Arabidopsis thaliana: one gene and its partners. The protein of the gene in region 3 interacts with the protein of the main gene of each other region in a pairwise test. Each region holds a gene or a part of one and is shown on either strand. Other genes may lie near its edges.

What was found.
Region 1: the proteins of VP2 (region 3) and AT4G16444 interact in a protein complementation assay, tested with the Arabidopsis thaliana proteins (one large-scale study listed by BioGRID).
Region 2: the proteins of VP2 (region 3) and GPT interact in a protein complementation assay, tested with the Arabidopsis thaliana proteins (one large-scale study listed by BioGRID).

The regions. Positions count from the first base shown.
Region 1 is NC_003075.7:9,273,894-9,278,115, reverse strand, and holds AT4G16444 (tail-anchored protein insertion receptor WRB-like protein), read left to right. Parts: upstream 1-1,668; 5' UTR 1,669-1,857; intron 1,858-2,017; 5' UTR 2,018-2,059; coding exon 2,060-2,170; intron 2,171-2,245; coding exon 2,246-2,325; intron 2,326-2,448; coding exon 2,449-2,519; intron 2,520-2,810; coding exon 2,811-2,881; intron 2,882-2,965; coding exon 2,966-3,047; intron 3,048-3,130; coding exon 3,131-3,180; intron 3,181-3,253; coding exon 3,254-3,325; 3' UTR 3,326-3,678; downstream 3,679-4,222.
Region 2 is NC_003071.7:17,299,838-17,304,755, forward strand, and holds GPT (UDP-glcnac-adolichol phosphate glcnac-1-p-transferase), read left to right. Parts: upstream 1-1,734; 5' UTR 1,735-1,924; coding exon 1,925-2,307; intron 2,308-2,385; coding exon 2,386-2,473; intron 2,474-2,561; coding exon 2,562-2,653; intron 2,654-2,742; coding exon 2,743-2,861; intron 2,862-2,969; coding exon 2,970-3,085; intron 3,086-3,174; coding exon 3,175-3,302; intron 3,303-3,396; coding exon 3,397-3,483; intron 3,484-3,647; coding exon 3,648-3,708; intron 3,709-3,802; coding exon 3,803-3,843; intron 3,844-3,925; coding exon 3,926-4,046; intron 4,047-4,133; coding exon 4,134-4,193; 3' UTR 4,194-4,374; downstream 4,375-4,918. Other genes in the region: LIS (WD-40 repeat family protein / small nuclear ribonucleoprotein Prp4p-like protein), read right to left, coding at 4,482-4,673, 4,777-4,918.
Region 3 is NC_003070.9:29,669,853-29,677,505, forward strand, and holds the start of VP2 (vacuolar H+-pyrophosphatase 2), read left to right. Parts: upstream 1-1,642; 5' UTR 1,643-1,839; intron 1,840-1,927; exon of another isoform or gene 1,928-2,139; intron 2,140-2,233; 5' UTR 2,234-2,487; coding exon 2,488-2,586; intron 2,587-2,756; coding exon 2,757-2,960; intron 2,961-3,070; coding exon 3,071-3,222; intron 3,223-3,310; coding exon 3,311-3,458; intron 3,459-3,534; coding exon 3,535-3,667; intron 3,668-3,988; coding exon 3,989-4,161; intron 4,162-4,310; coding exon 4,311-4,431; intron 4,432-4,923; coding exon 4,924-5,111; intron 5,112-5,291; coding exon 5,292-5,729; intron 5,730-5,809; coding exon 5,810-5,974; intron 5,975-6,050; coding exon 6,051-6,206; intron 6,207-6,291; coding exon 6,292-6,403; intron 6,404-6,503; coding exon 6,504-6,723; intron 6,724-6,809; coding exon 6,810-6,909; 3' UTR 6,910-6,979; exon of another isoform or gene 6,980-7,096; coding exon of another isoform or gene 7,097-7,566; 3' UTR 7,567-7,653. Other genes in the region: AT1G78915 (Tetratricopeptide repeat (TPR)-like superfamily protein), read right to left, coding at 68-147, 262-367, 637-724, 886-923, 1,009-1,037, 1,119-1,229; AT1G78922 (uncharacterized protein), read right to left, coding at 7,097-7,566. UniProt on the Arabidopsis thaliana protein: Pyrophosphatase active in both inorganic pyrophosphate hydrolysis and H(+) translocation.

The sequences.
Region 1 (4,222 bases), on a different chromosome or scaffold from region 3:
TGAGGTTTTAAATATTCCTTGGAAAAAAAGTGAATATGAGAAAAGGGAGTGACAAAAGGGTTTAGGAGAGATTTTGGTGGCTTGGGAGATGGTGAATTGGAGCCACTTCTTTGTCTCTACGTCAAATCTTCTCAGTGGAATTTAAAGTTATATTATTGGCATTCAATTAAAAATGAAACACACATTAAAGAAGAGTGTCAAAAGTTGTTAATGGTTTCTATAAATTAGTTGATCCACTTTTAAGTTTTAACTTCTTATGATTTGGCAAGGAGGAAAAAGTATATAAAAAGTGGGCCTATCTATTGATAAAAAGACAAATGGAGTTCAATAGACTAGGGAATAATGATATCAACATATATGTATGAGATGTGTTTTGATTGATAAATAATTGTGAAAAAGACCACTCATTTTTACACAAGACATTCTCTCTCGATCTCCTCGTTTTCTCTCGATCAAAATGCTACTCTACGCTCCCTTCCCATAATGAAAACATCCATGCATGTACATTATCATATTTTTACTAATTTAGGGATCGAAAAGATTAATTTATAAAAAAGTAGAATACTATATACGTATCAATTAATATATGTGTTCAATGCAAAGCCGATGCAAACTTATATATTTCCTATCGTGATAATCTTATATAATAGATATTAGTTGTGTTTGATATATATAATAATTGCAGTACATATAATTCTTAACACCCATATAATGTAAAATTTTCTGATACAATTCTAAACCACATGTGTGCATTTTGAGTTTCACTTCATAGTCGGATTCTGCAAACTCCCCACATTAATTGGTCCACAAGGTACAAAACTTATCTCACATATATTCACCAATATATACAAATGTCAAATGCCTTTATAATGTATCACTCTTGATTGTTGATATTAGATAAGAATGTTGATATCATTACAAATGAAATGATATATTAGATTAAATTGGTAAATTTATTGTTACACCTCTAACAACGAAAAAAAGTGAGACAGTATAGCTACAAAACGGAGCGGGTTGAAAGAAAGAGGAAGTGGACAATGGGGATACAAAGTTTGAAAGGCACATCAAAAGTGGTGGGAGCAAAAGTTTGTCGTCAAGTAATTGGAATATAATGGCATGCATACACGAAAGCTGAAGATGCTACGACGTTTAGGATTTGGACTTACATTGTTTTTCTTCCTTTTTTCAGCTTCGGTATCTGCGATGTTATCGATAATGCTCTGATTTGGTGATAACCCCAATTAGATAGATGATTAACATAATTAAGTGGGATCGGATGAGACAAAACATATAGTGTCTTTAGATTAGTTGAGAAAGATTAGAGACAACGCGTGCCATTTCTGGTAAAACCATTACAACCACTCCACGTAAAAAGAATACATTATGTTTGTTAAATTTTCACATTTCTAATTTCTTACCCTCCATTTTGTAGTTTTACTACATCTCTACTATTTATATCTATTTTTATCCTATTCATTCTAAATTTGGATACTTTTACTGTTGACTGAAACTTGTAGCCTAGTTGTTGTTTCTTTTCACATGTACTCATGTATACCCAAGCTTAATGAAATTTTAAAGAAAATAAACAAGCGGTTTAGTTTTAATTTAATGGGCCGTTTCTTTATTTCAACGAAGCCCAATAGAGCCTGTTGAAAAAGGGTTTAGTTATTGTTGTTTACACATAAGGGCTTGAGTTTTATTTATTTCACGAAACGAGTAGAAACTTTTGTTTTATCAAAATCAGAACCCTCCTCTTTTACAGATTCAGGCCAATTCTAAATTCCCATCGTTCGTTCAATTTCAGACGTTAACCTCGGCTTGAAGGCTTCAAATTTCTGTGAATCCACGACGGAGATTGTAAGTTCCGATCATACTCACGACGATCTCATTCTATATGCACTAGAATCTTTTCCTCCTCCATTGATTAGATGATATGTTTATCCAGAACATGATGGATTCAATTAAGGCTTTTATTTTGTTGATCTGAATGGTACTGAGTTATGAATTGTTCGAGCAGATTGGTGAATTACGTTAGAATCAGTAATCAGCAAAAGGGTTAATGGAAGGAGAGAAGCTTATAGAAGATCGCGGCTTTTTGGCTGCTCCTCTGACCTTCGTCGTCGTCGTTGTCTTCCAATTGCTATCCAAGTGGCTTGACCAATTGAAGAAGGTAAAAAAGATAATACTTTTTGGCTTTTTTTCATATCCACATGAATCATCGTTTTGAATTATGGAATTTCTTCAGAAAGGGTCGAAGAACACGAGGGAATCAGAGCTGCGAACCGAAATTAAGCAGCTTTTGAGAGAGGCTAGTGCATTGTCTCAGTAAGCCATTTTGTTGTCACATTTTGTTTTGGTTCTAGTGATTTGAGTTAAGGAAGGTGCAGTTGTTGAAAAATATATATATGAGTGTTGTTGATTAGAGATTTATCTATTGTTTACTTGCAGGCCAGCCACATTTGCGCAAGCAGCGAAACTTAGGAGGTCAGCAGCTACTAAAGAGAAAGAACTTGCACAATGTGAGTATGCATACATTATTAGTTCTACATTGATTGCTTAGTGAGCGTAGAGTTCATGAAATTCAGAAATATGATTGATTGCTTAGTGAGTGTAGAGATCATGAAATTCAGAAATATGATTGATTGCTTTGTGAGTGTAGAGTTCATGAAATTCAGAAATATGATGCAACAGTTAGTTAGCTTTAAACATGAATACTATCTGGTAGCAGATATTCCTACTAAAGCACTGCATCATCATGGTGTAGTATTGGTGTGTGTGTGTATTTGTTAATTCTCATTTTGAAATTTTAGATCTGGAGCAGCATCACAAAGAAATCAAGCTTTCATACGATATGTATGGGAAGGGTCTGCTTGCTTCGAAGGTAGCTTAGTTTGTGTGCTCAAGCTTCTTCTTTTTTTCCGTCTAAAACTCCTTAATCGAGATGTGCTAAGAACTTTGTTTCTAGGTTGTGATATACCTAATCTTGGTATTGTGCTTCTGGAGGACTCCAATTGCCATTATCGCTAAGCAACTTGTTCAACCGTTTGGTGAGTAGTTTACTTTTACCAGGTTAAAGCTCGCTTATGGTATATAACACATAGGAAAAAAATGAATGTGGTGTGTTTCACAGGGACTTTGTTATCTTGGGGAACAGGAGGTCACATGACAGGCCATGTAATGGTAAGTTCCTTCTTCTCAATCCATTTATTTGGGCTTGTTCTTGATTGAGAGTGTTGGTTGGGTAAAAATGCAGGTCGGGATCATACCGTGGCTCATACTCTCAAACAGAGTGAGCAAATATGTGTGTAGGTTCGTGGAGTTCTAAATCGCATCCCTGAAAAGAGTGAAGATTGGATGGTTTTTGAGTTCAAAGTTGTAGCCTTTTAGGAGACACTTGTGGCAGAAATTGTGCTTCTCTTTTTGTTCCTAATCTTCCTTAACAATGTATATTTATATGACTCTTTTTCTCTGGTTGTTTGTTGGATTTTACCAATAACAAGTAGTTCGTTTTTGAGAGTTGAGCAGGTTGTTACCGTAGAAGCAGCCCCAATATTTACCCAATGTGTATATATACACCATAACAAACACATTGTCTCTATTCCTCTACGTGTTGTCAATTTTTATCTTGTAACACCGACTTTGTAAAATCAGATTCTAAAGACGCGTGTACTTATTCAACACGATGCCAATGCATGTGGTTCATTAAGATGTAGCATTATATCACCGAAAATGGAAGAGAGAAATAAAAATACTTACTATTATTAAAAGTGGGTAGCTTGGTGAAGGCACTAAAGTTTAATGGGAGAATCTTTTTAGCAATTAATTCGAGGGCATTATAATATCCACTTCCAACCACCACATTACTTAATTAAGGAAAACAATTTAAATCATAGTATCTTGTTTGGTTTGAAAGGAACGTGCACGTGTCACATCATCTACACTTGTCTTTCTAAATCAAAGAACTTGATTGGATTTGGTTAAGCCTATTAGTAAGAGTTAATAAGACAGAACCAAAGAAAAGGGTTTGGTTAGAGGGGCTAATTGGGAGATGGGAAGTGCAATAAATAAGAAGAAGGTTCATTAAATAGTTGTGTATGTGGGCATCCAAAGTCCCATCTTAATAATTTAATAATCTCCTCGGGATAGATAACAATCTTCTCTTCTTCTTCTTCTTCTTCTCTCCATTTTCCTAGAACATTAAAAGACAAATATGGAGCATTGT
Region 2 (4,918 bases), on a different chromosome or scaffold from region 3:
ACAATTAACAAAACATAATTCATAATAATAAAACATTTGTTAATACCATATATATTAAAAATTTGACCAATAACATATATATATATTTTTTTTGTTAATTTTCCTTTTGGTTAAGAAAAATAAAATGTAATATTTTTTAGATATAGAAATATGAATTAGTATATGTTAATAATGATTTCTTTTTTTAGTTTTCTATTTCTTTAAGAAAAAAAAAGTTAATTATTTTCTTACACATGGCAACATCTGATCGATAGACTTGACACGTGGCATAATCTTATGAGTTAGTAACTTTGAAAACCATACTTTATATAATAAGATTTTTTTTTGTTAATTTTTCTTTTGGTTAAGAAAAATAAAATGTAATATTTTTTAGATATAGAAATATGAATTAGTATATGTTAATAATGATTTATTTTTTAGTTTTCTATTTCTTTAAGAAGAAAAAAGTTAATTAATTTATTTTTTAGTATTTCTATTTCTTTAAGAAGAAAATGGTTAATTATTTTCTTACACATGGCAACATCTGATCGATAGACTTGACACGTGGCATAATCTTATGAGTTAATAACTTTGAAAACCATATTTTATATAATAAGATGTTGATTTATTCTTACTTTTTTTGCTATATCTTTCCTTATATTTCATACTTAATATTTTTTTTTTGTTTCTAAGATACATACATTAACTCTCATATTTATTGTCTTAACTAAATTTTACTTTTATTTGTACACGTGGCTTCCCCCCACAATATTTTTGACCCAAATCCAAAAAAAAAAAAACACTATCAATAATATTTCCTCTTACCATTTATGTCTTACACACAAGTGTCAAAATATAGTAGAAGACATAGAAAATGTTTAGATTATGATTAAATATCACAAAACTTTTGTGACATAAATCATGATCCATATGCATCCAAGTTCTAATAATAGGTCGATTCGATCTTGTAAAAAAAAAAAGTAATTAATAGTAAAAGATTTTGTATTGAATTTTGAGATATTTTTCTCTCACTATAAAAAGATGAATTGTGTAGCTAGAGATCATAACAAACTCTGAGGAGATTCAAGCTAAGGTACATTTACAAAAACTTATTTTAAATTACAATGGGTTGTTGCATTTTCGAAACTGATCCTACAGACCAATAAGTACTATTCAGTTAATTTGAAAACACTTACAAAAAAAACTAAGATATAATTTAGCAACTTTAACATTTTTTATTATGTTTGTAGGGACATTAATGGGAAACTGGTGTAGTTGTGTAACAAAAGATGAAAATAGTGATAATTCTAGTAGCTCTCAAACTTCTACGGATAAAGAAAGTAGTGTGCAAGTTTCTTCTGTGAGCACTACGTCTTCTTCAGAGATTTCATCTGAATGTTCTTCTTCAAAATGATCATCTCAAAGCTCCCAATGATGGAAGCGTAACTAGTGAGCAAATGTCGCATGGATCATCTTCTTCATCTTATCAATAAAAAAATCTTCAAAATAAATAATTTTCTATGTCAATTTTTATATTAAAAGAAACTTTGTTAAAAATTATGACTATTAATTAATAACTATATTATTACATAATCTTTTAAATATAAGTTTTAGTTTTAATTTTTAATAGTTGCTTTATGTCATGCTGATGTGTTGCTACAACAAAATTCTTAGCAAAATTTATGCATTTTTTTCTTAAAAAAAGAGAGTTCTATAAGTATAATCCAAGATATATTCTTGTACTTAATACGAATAATTAAAGTTATGATTAATCCATAAAGTTCTATTTCGATGACACGGTGTCGTATTTGAAGCGACGTGGCAAATCCTTATTGGTCTATATGACGCAGAACGGGAATTGCTCTGAAGAATCCTTTCTCAGGCGAACGGAGTTTGGAGTCAAAATCCAGAGCGCGGGGAAACGAAACGAGCCAACAAATCCGCCATGGCAGCTCGTAAGAGAGCTTCATCGATCTCAATTCCCAACAAACCGGACCCGTCGGAACCCAACTCAGCGCCATCGGAGCAGAAGATGACCCGAAAGACGGTTTCTGCTTCCGGTGAGGAATTTCGTCTCGCGCCGCCGAAATTAGGAGTGATCTTCGTGATCTCTACTCTTCTCTGTTCGCTCTATCTATACCTTCTCTGTTTTCACTACAAGGTTGATAATGAGCTCAAGCGATCGATTCTAATTAACGCGGGGCTTAGCTTGGTTGGGTTTTTCGTCACTCTCAAAATGATTCCTGTTACTGCCAGATACGTTCTGAGACGTAACATGTTTGGTTTTGATATCAACAAAAGAGGCACGCCTCAAGGAGATATTAAAGTGTGAGTTTTTATCAATCTCTGATTTTCCAAAGATTAAGATTAGTTTGATTAAAATTTCTTCATCCTCTTTGTTTTCAGGCCAGAGTCATTGGGTATTGTTGTTGGTATTGTCTTTTTGATCGTGGCGATAATATTTCAGTATTTTAACTTCACTGAAGATTCTAATGTAAGTGTGCATTAACGTCTTGTTTTATTAATCTCTGTGGTTATTCTCATTATCAATGTTTGTGAGTCTGGCTGATGATTCTGTGCAGTGGCTTGTGGAGTATAATGCAGCACTAGCATCTATTTGCTTCATGATTTTGCTTGGATTTGTAGATGATGTCCTTGATGTGCCTTGGAGAGTGTAAGTCCTAATTCCTACATATTTTTTTGATGAAATTCACGCTTATCGTTTTTGATTCACATGTTTACTGTTGTCAATTTAAACAACAGAAAGCTTGTCCTGCCATCTTTTGCTACCCTTCCACTTTTGATGGCTTATGCTGGTCATACAACTATTGTTATACCAAAACCTCTTGTTGCTTATATTGGCTTGGAAGTGCTTAATCTAGGTAATGGTTCTTGTACATGATACCACCTATTTGTACACATTGACTTGTATTTTTCTTTTGAGGAGGTAAATGATTATGATTAGCTCAATAGATGTTTTAACGTGGCAGGAAGGATATATAAGTTATATATGGGGCTACTTGCTGTCTTTTGTACAAACTCTATTAACATCCACGCTGGTCTGAATGGCCTTGAAATCGGTCAAACAGTTGTTATTGCCGCTGCTGTAAGTCTTATGGTCATACATAATGTCTCTGAATTTTTCTCATTTTGTTTCTTTTGGGTTGAGATATGATGCATCCCAGTTACCTGTAGATCCTGATACACAACGTTATGCAAATCGGAGCATCTGTTGATCCCGAGTATCACCAAGCTCATGCCTTCTCGATATTTCTTACTCAACCGCTGATGGCCACATCCTTGGCAATGCTTGCTTACAATTGGTAAAATCCCTAGCAGGCTTTCTCTTTAAAACTTTTTTTTTTTGAGTGGAAGTAATGATATTTCTGACCAGTTCTCGCAATCTTCTGCTGTTAGGTATCCTTCTTCAGTTTTTGTTGGAGACACTTACACAGTCTTCGCCGGAATGACTATGGCAGTTGTTGGTATTCTGGGTCACTTCAGGTATACTTCCAAACCCACTTATCTTCTCTGAGGCACAGGCACTTCACTAATACATGGAAACTACCAACTCTTAGATTGATCATTTGCATCATATATCCAGCTACTGTATGACCATGCAACTGATTCCCATGCCATCTTTCTGTATTGAAATTTTGCTTCTGCAGTGAAACCCTCCTCATCTTCTTTCTTCCTCAAGTTCTGAACTTTCTATTATCGCTTCCTCAGGTTCATATCACCTTTTCACTCTTCTATGGCATACGTATAATCTTGTCAACTCATGTTTCAAAAATTTAACATACTATATATGATAACTCTTCAGCTTGCTGGGATTGTGAAATGTCCGCGCCATCGTCTCCCAAGGTAACCCCCTTTGTTTTCTTACCCTTTGTAGACTGATTAAAGAACAGACGCATCACTCATCTTGTCTTTTGAAAATATCCAGGTATGATCCTGCTACCGGATTACTGACCGGCACAAAAGATGGGACACTCGTCAATGTTTACTTGAGGTTGTTTGGTCCTAAATCAGAAAAGTCTCTTTGCATCCATCTTCTCGTTTTCCAGGTAGGTCTCAGATATATGTATATCGCCATTCGTATATAATGAAGTAGTCGCTTTAGTGTTGTCATACTCTGCTTGTTTTTGCTACAGGCTCTAGCCTGCGCCTTCTGCTTCATACTTCGACACTTTCTTGCTGGTTGGTATAAATAGTCTGCAATCAGAGAAGTCACAAATACAGAACATTACTTTAGTACCTTGTACAATCGTATATATCAACAATTTTTGTTAACGTGTTGAAGTATTCTCAAGTAAACAAAGTTCATTCATTTGCTTTTTGTTGAACGAAATGGCAAAATTTTCAAGACAATGTATCAGCATCCTGAGTTTCTATAATTCCCGACAAGAGATCAAATACAATTTAATGAGTTTCTCTAACAAGCTAATCTCGAAATCCCTAGATCCCAAGTTTTTTTTCTTGCACAAACATGAAAAATGAAACTAGAGATCTATGTCCATTGTTTCTTTCTCTTCGTCTTCATCATCATTTCCACTGCTTGTCCATAGCTTGATGGTGCGATCATGTGATACAGTAGCGATACACGAGCTATCTGCTGTGATATCTAGAGAGGCGACTTTTGACTCATGCCCTGCTAAGCTTTTAACGAGCGAGAAATCTCTTCCTGACCATATCTGGTAGACAAAATATAAGAAATTGGAATCAAACTATAAGCCAATGAAACAGAAGACTGAAAAAAAAAAAAATACTAAGGCAAGGGATTATAGAAGTAGTTACATTGACTTTCATGTCGTATGAGGCAGTGGCCAGAAAGTAGCCTTCTTGTGGCTCATACTTCACTTGAGACACAAGGTTAGCATGAGCTGGTATAATGTACAATGACTTTCTCATTCTTAGATCCCAAATACGGCATTGATTA
Region 3 (7,653 bases):
AATAAAAAGAAGGAAAATGACAAACAGTAACATGGTGTAAATGACACAGTTATGACTTGGACTTCACTTAACGCACCTTCCCGTGGGAAGAAAGTCACCAAGAGCAAAAACCAAACCAAATACAACAACAGCTATGCCAACTCCAACCTGTCATGGCATGGGCCCAAGTTTTGTCATGTTATGTATGAGTAGCTTATAGGCCTCAAGTGGTTTTAGAACAAAATAAAAAATAAACACTTGCAAGATGTTATGTATGCGTACCTTAGTACCAAGACCAATTGTTTTCTGGTCAGACTTGACTGGTGCATCATAGTCAATTGGACCAAATTCTTTAACTACTTCTGTCTTTTTCTGCTCAAGAGCTGACCTGATTCATCAAAAGAGCAGAGGTCACAGAAATAACATTCCGATCAGTGGGAGGACAATGATCTTGACTATGTCTAGGGGGTGAGGGAAGTGGAAAGCAAGACAAGTGATGAACAAATCAAGAAAAAAAAAGAATCAAACTTTCATAGGAAGATCATGTCGTTGTGGGTATAATGAGAAAGTCAAGTGTGATTGTCAGAGGAATAATCCTATTGTAACCTATATATCTCTAAAGCCAATCTTCATGCTAGAATCATAAAACATAGGTACCTTCTGATGTTTTCCAGCCGTTCATCGAAGTCTATATCAAAAGATCGACCAGATTTTCCTTCAAACTGAGTATTCAGACCAGGTGCCTCTGCAAACAAATGCAGGAGTTTCTTGAGCAAACCTTTCAATTGAAACCAACTTTTTGAGATAAACTGAAGAATGCAAAAATGAAGTTATGTTCGAGACACCATGAAGGAGAGCAGCAACATCTGTTACGTACAATATGCTTTAAAATCAAATTATACTTACTTCTGGGTACAGAAACAGACTGTTTAGAAGATGATTTCCTGCAGCAAAGAAGTCCATATGAAAATATAACAACAGCAATTTAAAATTCTAAATGCTTTAAACAAACACAAAAACTATTTATACCTTTGCTGCAATGCCGGGTCTTTCTCTTCCTGTGATGCGATTTCACATTTTTGTCTCAGTACTTTGAATCAACAAAATTAAGTTGAACAAAGAAGAATTTGGAATCAAACCTTTTTTGAGCCGAAGCCACGCTTAGGGTTAGAATCCGAGCAACGTATTCGAAATAGGAGAAGCTTCGAGTTAAATGAAACGGAGGTCGTCGCCGCTAGTGTCATCAACATCCTCTGTTTGTATTGTCCTAACCAAAACAGAGAATTTTCTAAGAAAGTTTCAAAGAAATAATGAGAAGTAACGGCTACGAAGAGAAATTCGTCCGCCGGAGATTGACGATGAAAGGTGAGCTCCGTGATCGGGCCGGTAAGATAACGTTAGTGGTTCTTCTTCTTCTTCACTTTGCAGATTGTCTATTATATGGGCCGAATGGCAAAACATAATTTTGGGCTAGGCCCATATAATATTCAAATGTTAATATTCCAAAATTGATGGGTATTTTTGATAATTTAACTCGATCTATATAATTTAACAAACGAGGATGATTTTAAGTTTTTAACTTTTTAAGTGAGAATAGTGATTAAGTGTCAACGACTCATTGGATAGGATGTGTCATAAAATTAGTATTGAACCACTGAGGAGTGAAAATAAAATTAAAGGTAGAAAAATTAATTTAGGAAAAAAATATTCGGAAAGTTCTGTGAAAAGTCTTCGGATTTAGAACGGAGACAGCGAGAGGATAGAGCGCTTCTTCGGCTACAACAAGCTTTCGCTAATGGCGGTTTCCTTCTGATCACTCTCACCGGAGCCGTCATCTTCTCTGTTTTACCGATTTTTAGGGTTTGTTTCCGGATAAACTCTTCGTATGCTTTTTTTTTTTCGTTGGATTCGTTTCTGGAAACGTATCCATTTCCTGTCTAGAGATCATGTGAATTTCTCTTAGAACAGAACTCAGATCTAAATTAAAGTAACGGTGCTTGATTCATTAAACTCGGAATGCAAAGTCCCTTGCGTTTTATTCACTGAAATCTTAGTCGATTAGATCTTGAGGTCTGTTTGTTAATCGCACTTTTCTGGGGAATTGATCGTAGAAGCAATTACGCTCATGGGAAATGATGAAAGTTATAGCTAAACTTTACTGTAGAACCTTACTCTGATTATATTTCATTTAAAAATGCTATTTGGTTGGTAAAGAGAAACATCACAACTTTTCATACTTTTCTATTTTTTTCAGAAATTTTGATTGTGGTGGAAACTTGTTGTGGCAACTCTACTGAGAAAGTTTGAAGAAGCTGGAATCAAAGATATAGCTAGAGTTAAGAGGGTTCATACTAACTTGTGCTCGTTTTGTGATGTGCTGTTGTTAACGTTTGGAGGAAAAAGTTGTAGTGTATTAAAATTCAGCGTCCGAGTTCTGGGGCGGAGTTGCCCCATAGCATTGACTTTACGCCTCTACACATAGTCCGAAGGGCTAATTCAGCTCAAAACATGATGATGGATGAAGATGTTGAGCAGGCCAGTTTGATGTCTTTCAATGACAGGCCTAGGGCTTTTCCCAACATGCGTAGTAAAACCTATAGTCCACTGGTACAACTTTTATTCCTCTCTTTCTTGAGTGCTTTTCTTTTTGCTTGCATCAGATCACTGAGATGCGTATTATAACTAGTTTCCTTCTATTTCGTTTAGCATCTTAGTTTCTTGAGCATCTCGTTTTCATTTTCTTTGAAATTGTATAAAGTTTAGTTGTTTTTTGGCAGATATTCCGGATTATTAGGAAATTAAATGTCCGTGTCCTTTCGATAATTCTGCTTTTCTGCTTCGGAGCAATCTTTTACATGGGGGCAAGTACTTCTCCCATCATCGTGTTCGTCTTCACAGTATGCATCATCAGCTTCCTTTTGTCAATATATCTAACCAAGTGGGTTTTAGCGAAAGATGAAGGACCTCCAGAGATGGTTGAGGTAAGCTCACTCAGATTATGTGGTGTTAGTCATGATGTTGACATTTTTCCTTCTTTGTTCTCATCAAAAATTTGTAATTCTAATTTGTGAGGTAATTCTCTTACTTATAGATATCAGATGCTATACGTGATGGAGCTGAAGGTTTTTTCAGAACGCAGTATAGCACTATATCCAAGATGGCCATTTTGCTAGCTTTTGTGATTCTTTGCATATATCTATTCCGTAGCTTAACTCCCCAGCAAGAGGCTGCTGGTTTAGGAAGGTGCTGATACATGATTACATTCACAAGATTTATTTTATCTTTTGAATTGTTGTGAATGAAGCTTAGCCATATTACTATTTTGCTGCAGGGCGATGTCTGCTTATATTACTGTTGCTGCATTTCTTTTGGGGGCTCTATGCTCAGGTATTGCTGGATATGTTGGAATGTGGGTGTCAGTTCGTGCTAATGTGCGGGTCTCCAGTGCTGCCAGACGATCTGCGAGAGAAGCATTGCAGGTTCTTCTTTAGTTTAGCTATTTTGGTAACATGTCATGTACACGTTTCCAAATACTAAGTGGCAGATATAATGCAGATAGCCGTTCGTGCTGGTGGGTTTTCAGCCCTGGTTGTTGTTGGTATGGCTGTGATTGGTATCGCCATCCTCTATTCTACATTTTATGTGTGGTTGGGCGTGGGTTCACCAGGCTCAATGAATGTTACTGACCGTAAGTCTTCTGCTCTTTTTTTTTTATGAAAAATATTCATTTTCGTCTTGTGTGTATATTCTATAATCATTGTACTGAGTTTCAAAAAGTTATTGTTATCTTTTCAAAGGATCATTTTCAGACATGAGCAGTATTTTCTTAAATATGTCATGACTTGTATTAATCTTGATTGAGGTGGGGTACCAATACAGTTCTAAGATTTTCAGTGAACCCTATATGTAATTCTCTTGATTTATTGACCAGAATTTGCATTTGCATGGGCGATAGTGGAGCTATTAAACTTGTAAGATTTATTGATTGAATTTTCTGTTTCTCTTACAGTACCTCTTCTTCTTGTCGGATATGGTTTTGGTGCTTCGTTTGTTGCCTTATTTGCTCAGTTGGGTGGTGGAATATATACTAAGGGAGCTGATGTTGGGGCAGATCTCGTTGGGAAAGTTGAGCAGGGAATTCCCGAGGATGATCCTCGAAATCCTGCTGTTATTGCTGATTTGGTATTTGATCTTTGTTCTTTTTGTTTCTTACTTTCTTGATTCTGTGATTCCCAAACGTGACATCCTTGTTTGGGGCATATATCACTCTACAAGGGTTTGCTTGTGTTTTCGTCATTTAGGCATTTAAAGCCATTTTCATCTTCTTGTAGGTTGGAGACAATGTGGGGGACTGTGCTGCTAGAGGTGCTGATTTATTTGAAAGTATAGCTGCAGAAATCATCAGTGCAATGATACTAGGTGGAACAATGGCTAAGAAGTGCAAAATTGAAGGTGCACCATCTCTCTTTAAAGTTACTTCTGGTATATGCAAATATATAACTTATGGTGTGAGTTCCTGACTCATACCGAGAAAATTAAATGAACTGCTAGGATTTTATAATCTGAAATGCAAACTTAGGAAGAGTTGCATAGAGAGTTCAAGCTCGTAAATTACATTCTGTATACAGAATAATCTACGCTTTATTGCATGTTTTGGTCACTCCTTGAGGATTTGAGGGTACATTATTACTTGTTAGGATTTAAAAAGTCGACATAAGTTGTATAGAGTTATTGTTTGAAGCACCTTGTACGAACCTGCTATGCATTGTGTGAAAATTGAAGGAAGACTACTTTTCATGACAGCAAGCTACACTTGGCTGCAGTCAAAAAATTTCAATAACATTACCCATTTCTAGCAGTGGTTGTTAGATATGCGCTGATAAACATCCTATTAAACCTCTTGTTCATGCTTGATACTTACTCAAATCTTTCTCTATTATGCAGATCCATCAGGCTTTATCCTTTTTCCTCTAGTTGTTCATTCTTTTGACTTGATTATATCCTCAATTGGTATTCTATCAATCAAGGGAACACGTGATGCTAGTGTGAAATCTCCGGTAGAGGATCCAATGGCTGTACTTCAGAAAGGATATTCTCTGACAATTATATTAGCTGTTATAACATTTGGCGCGGTAATGTTGTCACACATAACCATTGATTGTCTTGTTCCTTTCATTCTTTTTACAATTAATTCTGCTTTTTATGGGCTTTTTGGTTCAGACTTTTCATTAGCCTACACTAGCCTTGTTATTACTGAAATTTCGAACAAATTCTTTGCTATATTCTTCTGACAGCATTATTTATGTTTGTAGTCGACTCGCTGGCTGCTTTACACTGAACAAGCTCCATCTGCATGGTTCAATTTCGCCCTATGTGGGTTGGTTGGCATCATCACAGCCTATATCTTTGTCTGGATATCCAAATATTATACAGACTATAAGCACGAGCCTGTTCGGACGTTGGCTCTTGCTAGCTCGACTGGTCATGGGACTAATATCATTGCTGGAGTAAGCTTGGGCCTGGAATCAACTGCTCTTCCAGTTTTGACTATAAGTGTAGCTATTATTTCTGCGTATTGGTTGGGCAATACCTCGGGTCTAGTGGACGAAAATGGTATTCCCACTGGAGGTCTATTTGGAACAGCCGTTGCTACAATGGGAATGCTAAGCACTGCAGCTTATGTCCTTACTATGGACATGTTTGGCCCCATAGCTGACAACGCTGGTGGGATTGTCGAGATGAGCCAGCAGGTAAGATGTCACATGATTGGCTTGAAAGGCTCTTATGTTCCATCTTTATTCTATGTAGAAATAATAAATGTTTCGTGCAGCCAGAGAGTGTCCGTGAGATCACTGATCTTCTTGATGCTGTTGGGAACACCACAAAAGCAACAACGAAAGGGTTTGCCATTGGATCTGCTGCACTTGCATCATTCCTTCTCTTTAGTGCGTATATGGACGAGGTTTCAGCGTTTGCTAATGTGTCTTTCAAAGAGGTAGATTTCGTTATGCATCGTTGCTGTATTCTCGATGTTGAGACAACTTCTCATACTCATCCTCGGATAAAATCAGGTTGATATTGCTATCCCAGAAGTGTTCGTTGGTGGATTATTGGGTGCCATGCTTATTTTCCTCTTTAGTGCTTGGGCATGCGCGGCAGTTGGTCGAACTGCACAAGAGGTTGTCAACGAAGTAAGAAGGCAATTTATTGAGAGGCCTGGCATAATGGTGAGCATATTTTTCCTTTTGAGTGCTTCACCTTTTCTTGTGTATTGGCTTGTACCGTTGTTGACTAGCAAATATCTTGTTGCAGGAGTACAAGGAGAAGCCAGATTATAGTCGCTGTGTCGCCATAGTCGCATCTGCAGCTTTAAGAGAAATGATAAAGCCAGGAGCTTTAGCTATTGCATCACCCATTGTAGTTGGTAAGTCAGTAATATCTACTCGTTTTTCTTTACTTACTGTATTGAAAGTTTGAAACCACAACATTGTGACCAAAAACAAACCTCTTGTTCTCTCTTTCAGGTTTGGTGTTTCGAATCTTGGGTTACTACACAGGACAACCTCTGCTCGGAGCAAAAGTTGTAGCTTCTATGCTCATGTTTGCAACAGTTTGTGGTATCTTAATGGCACTTTTCCTAAACACGGCGGGAGGTGCTTGGGACAATGCAAAGAAATACATAGAGACCGGGGCACTTGGGGGCAAAGGAAGTGAAGCTCACAAAGCAGCTGTGACTGGTGATACGTAAGTATTTTCGTTCTACTTCAACACTCATTCAAAGTTATATTCCTGAATACGATTTCTCATTAGAATTCATCTGAAAATTGTAGCGTGGGAGATCCGTTCAAGGACACAGCCGGTCCATCCATTCACGTCCTCATAAAAATGCTTGCGACTATAACTCTCGTCATGGCTCCGGTTTTCCTCTGAAAGTGAACCGTTACTTATCCATCCCGGCTTATTTACTCTCTTGCACATATACAAATAGAGAGGGAGAGAGGTTGGTTATAAAATGATTTACATGGATTAATGGTTTTTGTGTTTCATTTCATCTGAATAAATGAGATAATTCTGTTTTTGAGTTTAGAGACACTCTTTAAGGAATTCTAGAGACATTTTAATCAACCACATCTTTGACTTTGAGAGTCTTTATTTTCCTCGATTTAATCTTTCTAGTACTTCTTCTTACTCTTCTTGATTTGCCTCCAACTCGTACAGACAATTGTCTACTCGGTAGTCTTATGAGACGGCGGTTGTTGCGATTGCTGCCATGATGGTGGTGGCTGTGTTTGCTTCCTAGTCTTCTTCTTCTCTGCTTTGGTCTAATGTTATCTATTCGACTGGGACTGTCCGATGAACTTGATTCATCATCACTCGGATAATCATAGGTCGTAGCTTCTATATCATCGAGACGTTTTCTGCGACGGTTGACCCGATTTATGTTAGTCAAACTGTGACACAAGCAACTAATCATCTCTCCAATGTCGAACCAGTACGCTGCACAAGCGGCACATGACATTTTGCAGATACTTTTCACAACACATTGGCAAATTCCAAGCTTGAACAGGAGGGTGATGAACATCAAAACTGGGAAAAAGAAACAAATACAAAATTATAGAAAACAAAGGAAAGTTCACAGAATCAATAGTGAATGCTAAAAATCGGAAATAAGAG